Linked DNA regions of Mus musculus. The protein of the gene in region 1 binds, or shares a complex with, the protein of each later gene. Links are inferred from orthologs where the notes say so. Each region holds a gene or a part of one and is shown in the gene's direction. Other genes may lie near its edges.

What was found.
Region 2: the proteins of Abl1 (region 1) and Sh3bp1 are in contact, whole or in part, in a crystal structure (PDB 1ABO), measured with the Mus musculus proteins. Residues at the interface, in NP_033724.2 of Mus musculus: Tyr70, Phe72, Ser75, Gly76, Asp77, Thr79, Asn94, Glu98, Trp99, Trp110, Pro112, Asn114, Tyr115; in NP_001303613.1 of Mus musculus: Ala607, Pro608, Thr609, Met610, Pro611, Pro612, Pro613, Leu614, Pro615, Pro616.
Region 3: the proteins of Abl1 (region 1) and Crk are in contact, whole or in part, in an NMR structure (PDB 1JU5), measured with the Homo sapiens proteins. The link is inferred for Mus musculus from reciprocal best matches to the Homo sapiens genes ABL1 and CRK. Residues at the interface, in NP_005148.2 of Homo sapiens: Tyr70, Phe72, Asp77, Asn78, Thr79, Asn94, His95, Asn96, Gly97, Glu98, Trp99, Trp110, Pro112, Ser113, Asn114, Tyr115; in NP_058431.2 of Homo sapiens: Pro44, Asp46, Asn63, Gly66, Pro67, Arg68, Pro69, Pro70, Val71, Pro72, Pro73, Ser74, Pro75, Pro80, Gly81, Ser83, Pro84, Ser85.

What each region holds. Positions count from the first base shown.
Region 1 is NC_000068.7:31,758,798-31,762,781, forward strand, and holds the start of Abl1 (tyrosine-protein kinase ABL1), read left to right. Parts: upstream 1-1,141; 5' UTR 1,142-1,239; coding exon 1,240-1,318; intron 1,319-1,375; exon of another isoform or gene 1,376-1,594; coding exon of another isoform or gene 1,595-1,658; intron 1,659-3,984. UniProt on the Homo sapiens protein: Non-receptor tyrosine-protein kinase that plays a role in many key processes linked to cell growth and survival such as cytoskeleton remodeling in response to extracellular stimuli, cell motility and adhesion, receptor endocytosis, autophagy, DNA damage response and apoptosis.
Region 2 is NC_000081.6:78,906,254-78,909,803, forward strand, and holds part of Sh3bp1 (SH3 domain-binding protein 1), read left to right. Parts: intron 1-2; coding exon 3-84; intron 85-169; coding exon 170-250; intron 251-960; coding exon 961-1,077; intron 1,078-1,707; coding exon 1,708-1,805; intron 1,806-2,099; coding exon 2,100-2,259; intron 2,260-3,550. UniProt on the Homo sapiens protein: GTPase activating protein (GAP) which specifically converts GTP-bound Rho-type GTPases including RAC1 and CDC42 in their inactive GDP-bound form.
Region 3 is NC_000077.6:75,677,997-75,682,093, forward strand, and holds the start of Crk (adapter molecule crk), read left to right. Parts: upstream 1-1,262; 5' UTR 1,263-1,427; coding exon 1,428-1,668; intron 1,669-4,097. UniProt on the Homo sapiens protein: Involved in cell branching and adhesion mediated by BCAR1-CRK-RAPGEF1 signaling and activation of RAP1.

The sequences.
Region 1 (3,984 bases):
AAAGTGTGTGACATCCTGGCTGAGAGGCCTGTCACAGGCACAGTCATGGCACTGTTTTTTTTTTTTTTTTCTTTTGCTTTTCGAGACAGGGTTTCTCTGTATAGCCCTGGCTGTCCTGGAACTCACTCTGTAGACCAGGCTGGCCTCGAACTCAGAGATCCACCTGCCTCTGCCTTCTGAGTGCTGGGATTAAAGGCGTGGGCCACCACGCCCGGCAGGTGATAACTTTTGTCATGGATCTAGCTATCCGGTACAGTCTGCTTAGAAGCCAAGAGACCAAACTTTGGAACCAGGCAGACCCTGACTGAGTTGAGTCTTCTGGTTTCCACCATGTGACCTTCTGGAGTGTCTGTTCTCACATGAAGAATCTGGGTCATGATATAACTTTCCTCACAGGATTAGGTGCACGCACCCTCTGGGTACCAAGGCACATGGAGCACTTCTCAGAGAACCATCCTGGGACAGTCAGCTCTTCAAGTGCAAGGATGGGGACCAGACTTTTAGTTATGTGACATTATTTCATAAGTTTATTTTTCCCTTGTCATTGGAACTTGGGTGAGTTTTTATTAGATTTGTTGTAGTTGGGGTCCTTGTTTCCCACCAACTTAGTGCCAGTAGTCCACTGCTGTGACCATTGCTTAGTTAAAATCTTGTTGGTAACCTCGAGCTAGCGTTTAGGAAAACAAAAACTCACCGTGAAATGGATTCAAACATTACCTGTGGCACCAAAAACAGGGGAAATTCTTGTAAAAATGAGGTCAGGAAGGACCGCCATTCCAGCCCACAATGAACACGCACCATAGAGACATTTCCCTAAGCTTAAACTCACAACTCCAGGTCTAAATGGGTGGTTGGACCCGCGTCCGGTATTCGGTATTCCTGTGGGTTCCAGCCCTGACTGTTCACATTCCTCAGATACCCACTTTAGGTTTAATCACAGTCGCTCCCCGAGACCAGTCCTGGTAACTTGAGAGGAATTTGCATTTCCACCGACCTTCCCGGACACGCGGCAGGGGCAGGGGCTACGCCAGCGCAGCTACGCAGCTGGGGAGGGCGTGGAGCCTTCCCTTGGCCTGGAAGGGGTTAAGGGACGGCTGGGGCGGGGCGCTGGGCCCTTTGTTACCGGCCTAGGCGGGAGGCGGGAGGCGGGACGCGGGCCTGGGCGCGGGCCTGCTGGGAGCGCGGCCTGGCGGGGCTGGGGGCCCGGGGTGGTGGGGCCTTCGCCGTGGCCACGGGACCATGTTGGAGATCTGTTTGAAGTTGGTGGGCTGCAAATCCAAGAAGGGGCTCTCTTCGTCCTCCAGCTGCTACCTGGAAGGTAAATCCTGGCCTGGGCGCGGGGCCCACCAGGACTGTCCTGCCCGCCCGTGCCCTGTGTGTTCTAGGTCCCCAGTCTTCTCCCTCTGAGGCCTCTGCGGGTGCTGGTGGCTCATTCGGACTTCCAGAAAGAGAGAGAGAGCCGCGGCTTTGGCGCTGGCGGGGCCCAAGCGCATAGTGTGGCTCCTGCCCAGAAAGTTTGAAAAAGTCAGTGCCACAGGCCTTAAGGTCCTTGTGAGCCCACGTTGTGGTGTTTCCACTGCCAACTGGGAATTGTATGTCACAAAGGTGGACCTACACCAAGTGCCGCGTACAAAGGGATCCCGCTCTACCATTTATGGGTACAGAATTTCATGTGAACTTTCCACCCCCACCCCCACCTTTCTGCAGACCATGAAGAGGTCTTGGGGATTGTCTCTTTTTAGAAGAGAAAGAATGGTTTTGCTTGTATTTCCAGGAGTTTTGAGAGCTTCCAGTTTGATGCTTGGTGAGGGAGCCCCTCATGTTTTGTTCTTTGCATAAACTTAGAGCCAGGAGCCTGTTGCTTTTGCCTGCTTTACCCTGCTCCTCCAATTCCATGCCTCCTTCCTGTTGTCTTTAGTGTTTGGGTCTAAAAGGATGGCAAGGGAAAAGGGTGAGTGGTGAGTGCTGGGGACTCGGCTGTGGCCAGGCCTGTTAGAGTATAGCTGACCTTTGTGGGGACTGCTGCCTTCTTCAGAAGGGCAGAAGCACTCACAGATGTGTGGTGCCCTGGCTTTTCTGGCTGTTTCATGTAAGAGTTAAGATAGGAGTAAAAATGTAAAGTTTTCTTCAGAGCAATTTGGATTTCTACTGTTTTGAATTGTAAAGAATTGAAGGCTTTTCAATATCTAACCTGCTTCCCCGACCCCCCTTCCAAGTCTTTGACTCAAAGACCTACAGGGCCCCACATGACCCAGCTCAGACTTAGGTGCCCAGCTCGGGTAGAGGATGTTCTCCCTTTGCTAGAAGGGAGTATAAGGGACTTCGCTATAAGTCACAGTAAGATTTCAGCCCCTCCGGGGATTTCAGGGCCTGGATTCCTGAGAGGAGCTTGGTGTGGATGGCATGAGCTCAGGGCCTACCACTTAGAGGGAGGGAGATGGTTTATTTGTCCCCAGAGTTGGCATCTGAGCGGCCAGAATCATCCTCAGTTAATGCGTTGCTTATTTTTTCCAAGTTGCTCCACACTCTCCGCACATTTCTCCTCCCCATCTGTATCCAGTTAGTGAGAGGCACTATCTCCATTTTGAGCCGCTGGAGGCGGAGATGAATGGACTTTTGTAACTGCAGAGTTGGGGCATGTCACAGCTTTGCTAAGGTATCAGCTTGTTCCTGGGGTAATGTGGGATTTAGTGCAGAGCTGTTGGTTTAATTCTTGTTTTAGAAGGGGGAAAAAATCCATTCTTATTCCAGCATAATCCTTAAGGTGAATTCTAGCATTGCCAAGTTCCAAAGGAGTGCTGTCCTCACTTGGGTTTTGTAGGCCTTCTCCAGGAAGGTGTCTCTCTAGGAGCTCTTTCTGTTCACTGAGTTCAAAAAGGTAGACGGAATTCTTGTTGTGTAGCTGACGGAATCAAGCTAGCCTCGGTGTAATTATGTCTTGAAGACGGAAGTGCTGTCTGTCTCTGGGGAAGAGAGCTGTTGCCAGAATCTGGGGAAGTAATCTGGGCCTTCATTTCTTGCTTACATCCTAAATCAATCAATCAGTTCATGACACCCACCCAGAGGCCTGGGCCTCACAGGCCAGGAAGAGAATTGAGTATGGTGAATTTTCCATTATTACCAAATGCATGCTCCCTGCTGCTGTGCAGAGAAGGCCTGGTCAGCACAGACAGCAGCAGCAGTTAGATGGCCTTAGTGGGCCAAGCATTGTCTGCATTCCACATGCCCTCACTTTCTGACTTCTTATGGTGGCCCTGATTATCTCATCTTGTAGATAAGAAACTGAGGCACCAAAAAAGGTTAGGTGACATCTCTGAGATGACAGAATCAGCAGGTGGTAGTCCCAGGATTTGAACTTGTGCTATCTGGCTCCAGGGAATTGCACAGAGAGAGAGAAAGGGGGAGAGGGGGTGGAGAGAGAGAGAGAGAGGGAGGGAGGGAGAGAGAGAGAGAGAGAGAGAGAGAGAGAGAGAGAGAGAGAGAGAGAATGAATGTTGGGTATTGGAAGCCAGGGCCTTGAACTACACCCATAGGCCCTTGCCAACTTTTGAATTTTGAGACGGACTTGCCAAGTTGTCCAGTCAGGCTGTGAACTCAATAATCTGTAAACGTAAAGAGACAGGCTTTGCACTTGGCATTTTCTTGCCTCAGCCTGCTGAGCACCTAGGATTTCAGGCTTGCACCCCAGCACCTGGCCCAGAAAGCCCATTCTTAGCCTGTCTGTGCTAATAATGGATCATTGGTCTGCCGTGGCATTGTTCTCCCGTGGAAAACACTATGGATCATTCAATACTGTCTTTAGAAATGCCCAGCTAGGGCCTAAACTGTACCAGTCTTTTCCTTTCTGCATCAGGTAATAGTAATACACCTGCTTTCATAAAGCAACAGGACCAGGAACATTTTTTAAGCAAACATAAAAATACTTGTAAGAAAATTCTGAAAGAGTATTTAATGAAAATTAATTGGCTCTCCTATTCTCTTTCT
Region 2 (3,550 bases), on another chromosome or scaffold:
AGGTGCCCTCAAGTCCTATCTCCGGGAGCTGCCGGAGCCCCTGATGACCTCTGACCTCTACGATGACTGGATGAGAGCAGCCAGGTGAGGAGGTGGTGGGGTGGGGAGGGGAGCGAAAGCTCTGGAAACATGGTCCTGGATTGGTGCATTGATGATTGTCCCTCCTCAGCCTGAAGGAGCCAGGAGCCCGCCTGGAAGCCCTCCATGATGTTTGCAGCCGTCTACCCCAAGAGAACTTCAACAACCTCAGGTGAGCCTTGCCCCCGCCTCCACCCCCACCAACACACAAACAAAGCTTAGGGGTTCGCTTTATGCTGTGCACAGAACCTTAGCTGTGATGTCCTGTTCCTGTCTTTTACACTAGACCAGATACCAGAGCAGACAAACCCAATCATGTGCAGTAGCTCATGCCTACCGTGCCAGCACTCTGGAGGCAGAGGCAGGTGGATCTCTGAGTTCAAGGCTAGCCAGATCTATAGAGTGAGTTCCAGGATAGCCAGGGCTATACAAACTCTGCCTTGAAAAAAAAACAAAAAAGGAAGAAACCCTGGTTTTGGTCCTCAGCAGGCCGTGAACTGGTGCATCCCTGCAGTCACACAGGCATGAGGATCAGAGCTTCAGGCTCATCCTTGGCTCTATAGAGTTCGAGGCCAAGCTGGGCTATGAGACTTTGTCTTAAAAAACAAGCAGAAACCCCTACTGAGCCTGTGAATCCATATTACCTGGCTGCAGACCCAGACCCCTGCCATTCTGGGACCCTGGGCAGGCAGTTCTCTGGCTCAAAAAAACAGATCGGGGGAAACTTCACTAGTAAAAATGTAATCATGCTGAGTGGTAAAAATGTAATCAATCATGCTGAGTGATAAAAATGTAACCATGCCGAGTGCAGCCCTAGGGTAGGGAGTTCGTGGGCCTTTAAGGACGCCGTGAGCATTTGTGATGCTCTCCCACCCCACCCAGGTACCTGATGAAGTTCCTGGCTCTGCTGGCAGAGGAGCAGGATGTAAACAAGATGACACCCAGCAACATCGCCATTGTCCTAGGACCCAACCTGCTGTGGCCTCCCGAGAAAGAAGGGTGAGGGCCATGAGTCCAGGGAGCCTGTCCCCAGCTAGTCCCCAGCTGCTGATTTGCCCAGACCTCCGTTCTCTGTCCTTGCAGTGGGCTGAGTAGTTCTTAAATCTGAAGCTCCCATGAGGAGCAGCCTGAGGGACCAGGGTAAAGTGAGGGGGCGGGCACATGTGTGGTGACCTGGTGCAGGTACTCAAAACCACCACTGAGGAGTGATTGAAGCCTCACTCTCAACCTTCAGGTGTGGGCCTTGGAGAGTCACTTCCGCATCTGTCAGTTGGGGAGACACGATATAAATTCTAAGGGGGAGGGGGTAGGTGTTACTTTAGGAATTAGATGGGAAATGGTTTACAAACTGTGAAGTTCAATGATACATGAAAAGTCACCCCTACTTTTCAGGCCACAGATGTACAACGAGGATCCCATGTGCTGAATTGTAATTGTTTGGGGGCAGGGGGAGAGGCAGTCAATCCAAGACCTGGGAAAAACGATAGCCCAGAATCGATTAGTGATATCTGTCATAGGTGAAGGAATGGGAGATGGGGTATGTGAGCTACACGCGTGCCATCAACCACGCCCAGCAGGGTCGCACAATGTTAGTGTGTCACTAAAACTCTTGCTTCTCTTTTGTGCCAGGGACCAGGCCCAACTGGACGCTGCCTCTGTGTCCTCCATTCAGGTGGTGGGTGTTGTCGAGGCGCTGATACAGAACGCAGACACCCTCTTCCCTGGAGGTGATGTCCTTTATTGTCATCTCTAGTCCCCACTTCCACCAACTCCTGGACTACAGCCCAGCCTCAGTCCTTGATTGCCCCCAAAACTCTCCATGTGGCTTAGAGGAAACTGTTTTTTCTATACTGAGCCTCAGTTTCTCATCTGTGAAATGAGAACGGTTCTGTCTTACCCATGGAAAAAGGAAGCAAAGAGAAGTCCCATCCTTTCAGGGAAAGAGAGTAGCCCTGGCTCTGGCCAGGCCAGGCAGGCTTGGCCAAGGCTCTGAACTTGACCCCTGTTCATACCATCTCTAGATATCAACTTCAATGTATCAGGCATCTTCCCAGGCCTGGCCCCCCAGGAGAAGGTCAGTAGCCAACAGGTCTCAGAGGAGTTGCCACCTGTTACTGTGCCTGCCCCAGCCACGACCCCAGCTCCCACCCCGGCTCCAGCCTCAATGGCTGTCAGAGAAAGGTAAGAGCTTAAACATCGTGAATAATCTACTCCTGGCCTGGGGCGTTCTCTCTGAGGATTTAGGAATGCAATCTGCGCTATTTGTCCTGTAGATCAGGTCCCACAGGTTGGAGTAGGCGGGAGGAGCCTGCTCTCAGCCTTAAACGTGTTCCTTTCTGTATTGTACAGCTATTTCTACAGCACCTACTATGTGCCCCAGGCATTGTTCATTTCCTGAGAATTTAGAGAATTGGGAGGGGACAGTGGGATTTACAACTATCCTGTCTCCAATCCTGTAAGTCTGAAAGGTTTTGTGGCAGACGGGTGTTTCTCAGTGGCCCACAACCATGGCTGTCTGTGGACTTCCTCAGATGAGGCGGGTATATGCCACCCTCAACCCCTGCCTTGGGTGAGGCAGGGAGAATGGCCATGTCCCATCTACATTCCTGTGATGTCAGGATGCGCTGTGCTGGAGGGTTAAGCATTATATGGGCAGCGTAGAGGGCTCTACCAGCTGGGGAGGAAAGGAAGGCCTCTCTGGGGAAATGGCCAAATGGAAGTTTAGGAAGCCAGACTCTCTCAACGGCTGCTCACAAACTCTCTGACTTGTGTTGGCAGAACATCTACAGATCCCATGGGGGTGTAAGGGTGTAGTTCAACTGGTTGCCTAGCACATGGGAAGGCTGGGTTCTAGCCCCAGCATGACAGGAAATGGGTGTGATGGCACTTATCTGCACTGGAGAGGTGGAAGCAGAAGGATCAGGAGTTCAGTATCGTCGTTCCCTACGTCGAAACTTCAAGGCCAGCCTAGGCTTTGTGAGAATGAGACGGTCTCAAAAAAGAAAAAAGATCACCTGGAAAGGCCAGGCAGAGGCTTGCTTCCCGCCTCTTTGGGACCGCCCCACAGGTTATATCCCAAGCCTAGGCTTTCTACTAATTTACTCCCTGTTGCTCTGATAAACACTGTGACCAAAACAACTTGGGAGGGAAAGGGTTGGCTTATACTTTACGTAGCAGTCAATCAGGGAGGCAGGGTCACAAGCAGAAGCAGAGGCCAGAGCCCTGGAGGTCGTCTGCCCTGGCTGGTCCTCAGCCAGCTTTCTTATACAACATAGGATGGTTGTCTGAAAACAGTGTGGCCCACGGTGAGCTGGGTCCTCTCACATCAATCAGCAGGGCAGTCAAGACAGTCCCACATCAATAGTGTCCACACACACACACACACACACTGACATAGCCTCAGGCCAGTCTGATGTGGATGATCCCTCAGTCGAGACTTCCTCTTCCCATGTGACTCTGAGTTGTGTCAAGT
Region 3 (4,097 bases), on another chromosome or scaffold:
GCTTCTGCTGCTAGTTCCTGGTGACTAAGCTAGATCAAGATGAGTCACTGGTAACAAGGAAGGGGCCCTTTTCCCTGCTGTCTCTCCCAGGGCTGGCCCAGACTATGGGTGGGAGCTCTGGAAGGCCGGAGCTATTGACTAGGCTAAGGATAACTTTGGTTTTGTAGTGAGACCGGGTCTCACTATATACAAAACACAGTAGTAACAGCTATGCAATGGTGGCACACACCTTTAATCCCAGCACTGGGAGGCAGAGGCAGGTGGATCTTTGGGTTCGAGGTCAGCCTGGTCTATAAAGTGAATTCCAGGATAGCAAGAGCTATACAGAGAAACCCTTCCCTCCCCCATTTTTTTATTAATTTTTTGAGATAGATGAAGATGATCATGAAGGAAGTAAAAGTAGGAGATACACCTGGCTACAACTGAGAGTTTAAAAAAAAATCTGGCTGGTGGATATGGGAGCCCCAATAGAGAGAACTCCATTTTTTTTTTTTTTTTTTTTTGGCCTGGCTGGGCATTTTGTTTTCTTTGCCTTGAGTACCCTTCCCCACTTCATTTAACATCCTACCATTCACCCTAGGTCATCTTATCTGTGGACCCCTTCCTCTTATTTGTTTTGGTTTTATAATACAGGGCCTCAGACTCACAGGGATCCTCCTGTCTCAACTCCTGAGAGGTTGGGATAACTGTCATGAGTCACTTTACCCAGCCCTTGGGTCTCTCCAGGACTACTTAGTTGATTTCCTTGTGTTTCTGCCCCCCCCCCGCCCCCATAGCAGATGTTGTTTCCTGGTCCCTCCCATAGGTGTGTGAATTCAGTGACTTAAAGCCAGTCTGGGTCAGCACTGCACCTGCGCGGCAAATGCGGTATCTGTGGCTGCTCATAGATAACAAGAACTTCAGCTGACCTCGGGGGAAACCGAAGGAAACACGGGGAAAAGACCAGCAAGTCAGGGAGCTTTGAGGGCGACTATCATCCTCGGACCACATCATCTTTTTTAACTTCAGTCCTTTTCTTGGTGTTGCTACTTGTAGGTTCTGGGAGAAAAGACCGGCCGCTACCAATCTGTCAAACACGGATCAGTCAATTTGTAGGTTGAGGCTCCGCCCCTTAGACCTAGACTCCGCCTCCCCATCCTCCGCGGTTGGGGTCTGGGCCTGGCGGCGACGCCCAGGACGCCGCATGCGCACTGAGGGCCCCAAGGACTCCGTTTCCCTTCTCCCAATGGCGGGCGTCGGTCCCCTTCCCGGCAGCCTCCCTCGGGTAGAGGGCGCGTCATTTCCGGTGGGGAAGGCCCGCGGCCGCCGCCGCCATTTCGGGCGCTGCTGGGAGGCTGACACCGGAGCCGGTCCGCTGGGCGGCGGGCGCCAGGGCTGGAGGGGCGCGCGTGCCGGCGGCGGCCCAGCGTGAAAGCGCGGAGGCGGCCATGGCGGGCAACTTCGACTCGGAGGAGCGGAGTAGCTGGTACTGGGGCCGCCTGAGCCGGCAGGAGGCGGTGGCGCTATTGCAGGGCCAGCGGCACGGGGTGTTCCTGGTGCGGGACTCGAGCACCAGCCCCGGGGACTATGTGCTTAGCGTCTCCGAAAACTCGCGCGTCTCCCACTACATCATCAACAGCAGCGGCCCGCGCCCTCCAGTGCCTCCGTCGCCCGCTCAGCCTCCGCCGGGTGAGGGACAGGCGGGTGGGAGGCCCGGGCGGGGGTGAGGGCCGTAGAACCCTGGTCTGCTGCAGGAGGGACGTGGGCAGAGAGGGCTAGAGTGAACCTGGCGGGGGAGCTGTCTTCTGAGCAAGCTGGTTCCCACCGATGAGCGGGATTGTGGGGGAGGAGGAGCTGCTCACCGAGGCCTCTGGGTGTGCCTTGGGAGCCGGGGAAGGGGAACTGCTGCGGCCCCGGGGTGGGGCTGGGCGCCAGGGTCAGGCCCAAGGGCAGGGCAGGGCTAGGCAACTTGGGGACAATGAGTTAATGGGGATGTTACGGGGACATCATTTGGCAGTGGTACTCAGAATGGCTCTGCTAATCCTACAAGTGGCTTTTAGGCTTGAAACGTTTCCTGCAGTGTTAGAGCCGGGTTTGGCCATACTCCCCTGGTGGCCTTCGGTAGGAAGTCACCACGTACTGACTGGCTGGCTGGGAGGGATGGAGACACCCTCAGGAAGCCGGTCAGCTTTTTCCTTTCTTGGGCATTTTTCCAAAATATCTTTACCGTGCTCTTCCCTTGTGGAAGGTGGTGAACTAAGTGACTTGGTGATAGAAAAAAAATCCTTCTGTGACCAGCCCCGCGTAATTGAAGCCTAGCAGGCAAATTGTGTCCAAGAGGTTTTAAGTGTCCAAAAAAACTGCCCGCTGCAACTAGAGTTTCTAGTTTCAAAGTGATTAGTGGAGGAAGATTTTTTTCCTTTAGAAAACAAACAAACAAACAAACAAACAGGCATAAGCCAGTGAGAACAACCTTGGAAGTGAATGGCACTTCATTCTCCCTGGATTTACTTAAAAAGTGTCAGACACGTACTTCTGGGTCTTTTCTTGCTCTCTAAGTTGGTGTTGTGGTCAAAATCTTCCAGGATATGAGAACAGACCTGGCTAGCAGATAAACACCAAGAATAATTATCCCACTGTTTCCTCGTCAAGGACCATTGAGTTTTAACTGTCTTAGCTGTCTTATTGCAGTTGTCTTGGCAATGTTAAGGGAATTCATGCACTTAGCCCTTGACGTTTATGAGATGAACAGTGATTCTGAGATTTCTGTTGTCTCTGTGTATAACAGCACCAAGCTTCTTGCTTTCTGGATGTTTGAAGTGTAAGCTTTTTCCTTCTAGAGCTGAGCTAGTCTCATGAATGGAGACTCACTGGTTAGCCTTGTAGCAGACTTGCATTTTTGGGATAGCTCTAATTTAGATTTACTCCCTTTGGCCACAAAGTGGGATTCGACGGTTCTTTGTGTTAGCACACAAGTTAAGGGGAAAATTTGAGTATTGAAGTCTTTTTAGTTAACAGATATAGACCTTTCTACGTCTTGTTGTTTTTTTTTTTTTTAAGATTTATTTATTATATGTAAGTACACTGTAGCTGTCTTCAGACACACCAGAAGAGGGTATCAGATCTCATTACAGATGGTTGGAAGCCACCATGTGGTTGCTGGGATTTGAACTCAGGACCTCTGGAAGAGCAGTCAGTGCTCTTAACCATCTCCAGCCCCTTGTTGGTTTGATAATATAAAATCAGATAGGAATATTAATGCAACACAATTGCCCTAAACAAAGTAAATTCTATATTTGTGCTATCTGTAAAATAATCTATTGTTTTGTGCTAAGTGCAATAGTAAGATGAAATAGTAAGATGAAATTCAATTCTCATCCAGATTTCATAGTTCATGCTTCTAATCTTGGCACCTAGGAGGCTGGTGCAAGAAGATTTTTAAAAGTTCCAGGCCATCCTGGGAAACTTAGAAAGACTGCCTCAAAGTAAAAGTTATGTGAAGGGTTGTGACTGGGGATCTAGTTGAGTGGTAGTTTATTTGCCTGGCATTTGGGCAGGCTAGGTTTTATTCCCAATAGTTGGGGGTGAGGGATTCAGTCCTCTGCTTTCTCTGTATTTTATTAGAAAATGTGGGAAAAGCATTAGGCAGGCTTATTAGTTTAATAGTTCTCTATACCTGGGCATTGTGGTTTTATATCTCAGTAGCTCCACCTTTTCAAAATAGGTGGTTGGCCTCAAAGAGGAGAAGATTGCCAGTTTGTGGGTTAGGTGTGGAAAGTTCATTGGCTTTGTGGCAATTTGTTCTGTCACGTTCCCCAATTTCTCTATAGGTCAGTCAGTTCACTTGCTAGTTTTTGTTGTTGTTGTTTGTTTGTTTGTTTTTTGTTTGTTCGAGACAGGGTTTCTCTGTGTAGCTCTGGCTGTCCTGGAACTCACTTTGTAGACCAGGCTGGCCTCGAACTCAGAAATCCATCTGCCTCTGCCTCCCAAGTGCTGGAATTAAAGGCATGCGCCACCACTGCCCAGCTGCTTGCTGTCTTTATGATGGTTACTTAATCGCTGTCCTTCTCCCCATTAAGCTGGTTTTCTTTTGAAGCCACACAGGAATTACTTGAGTT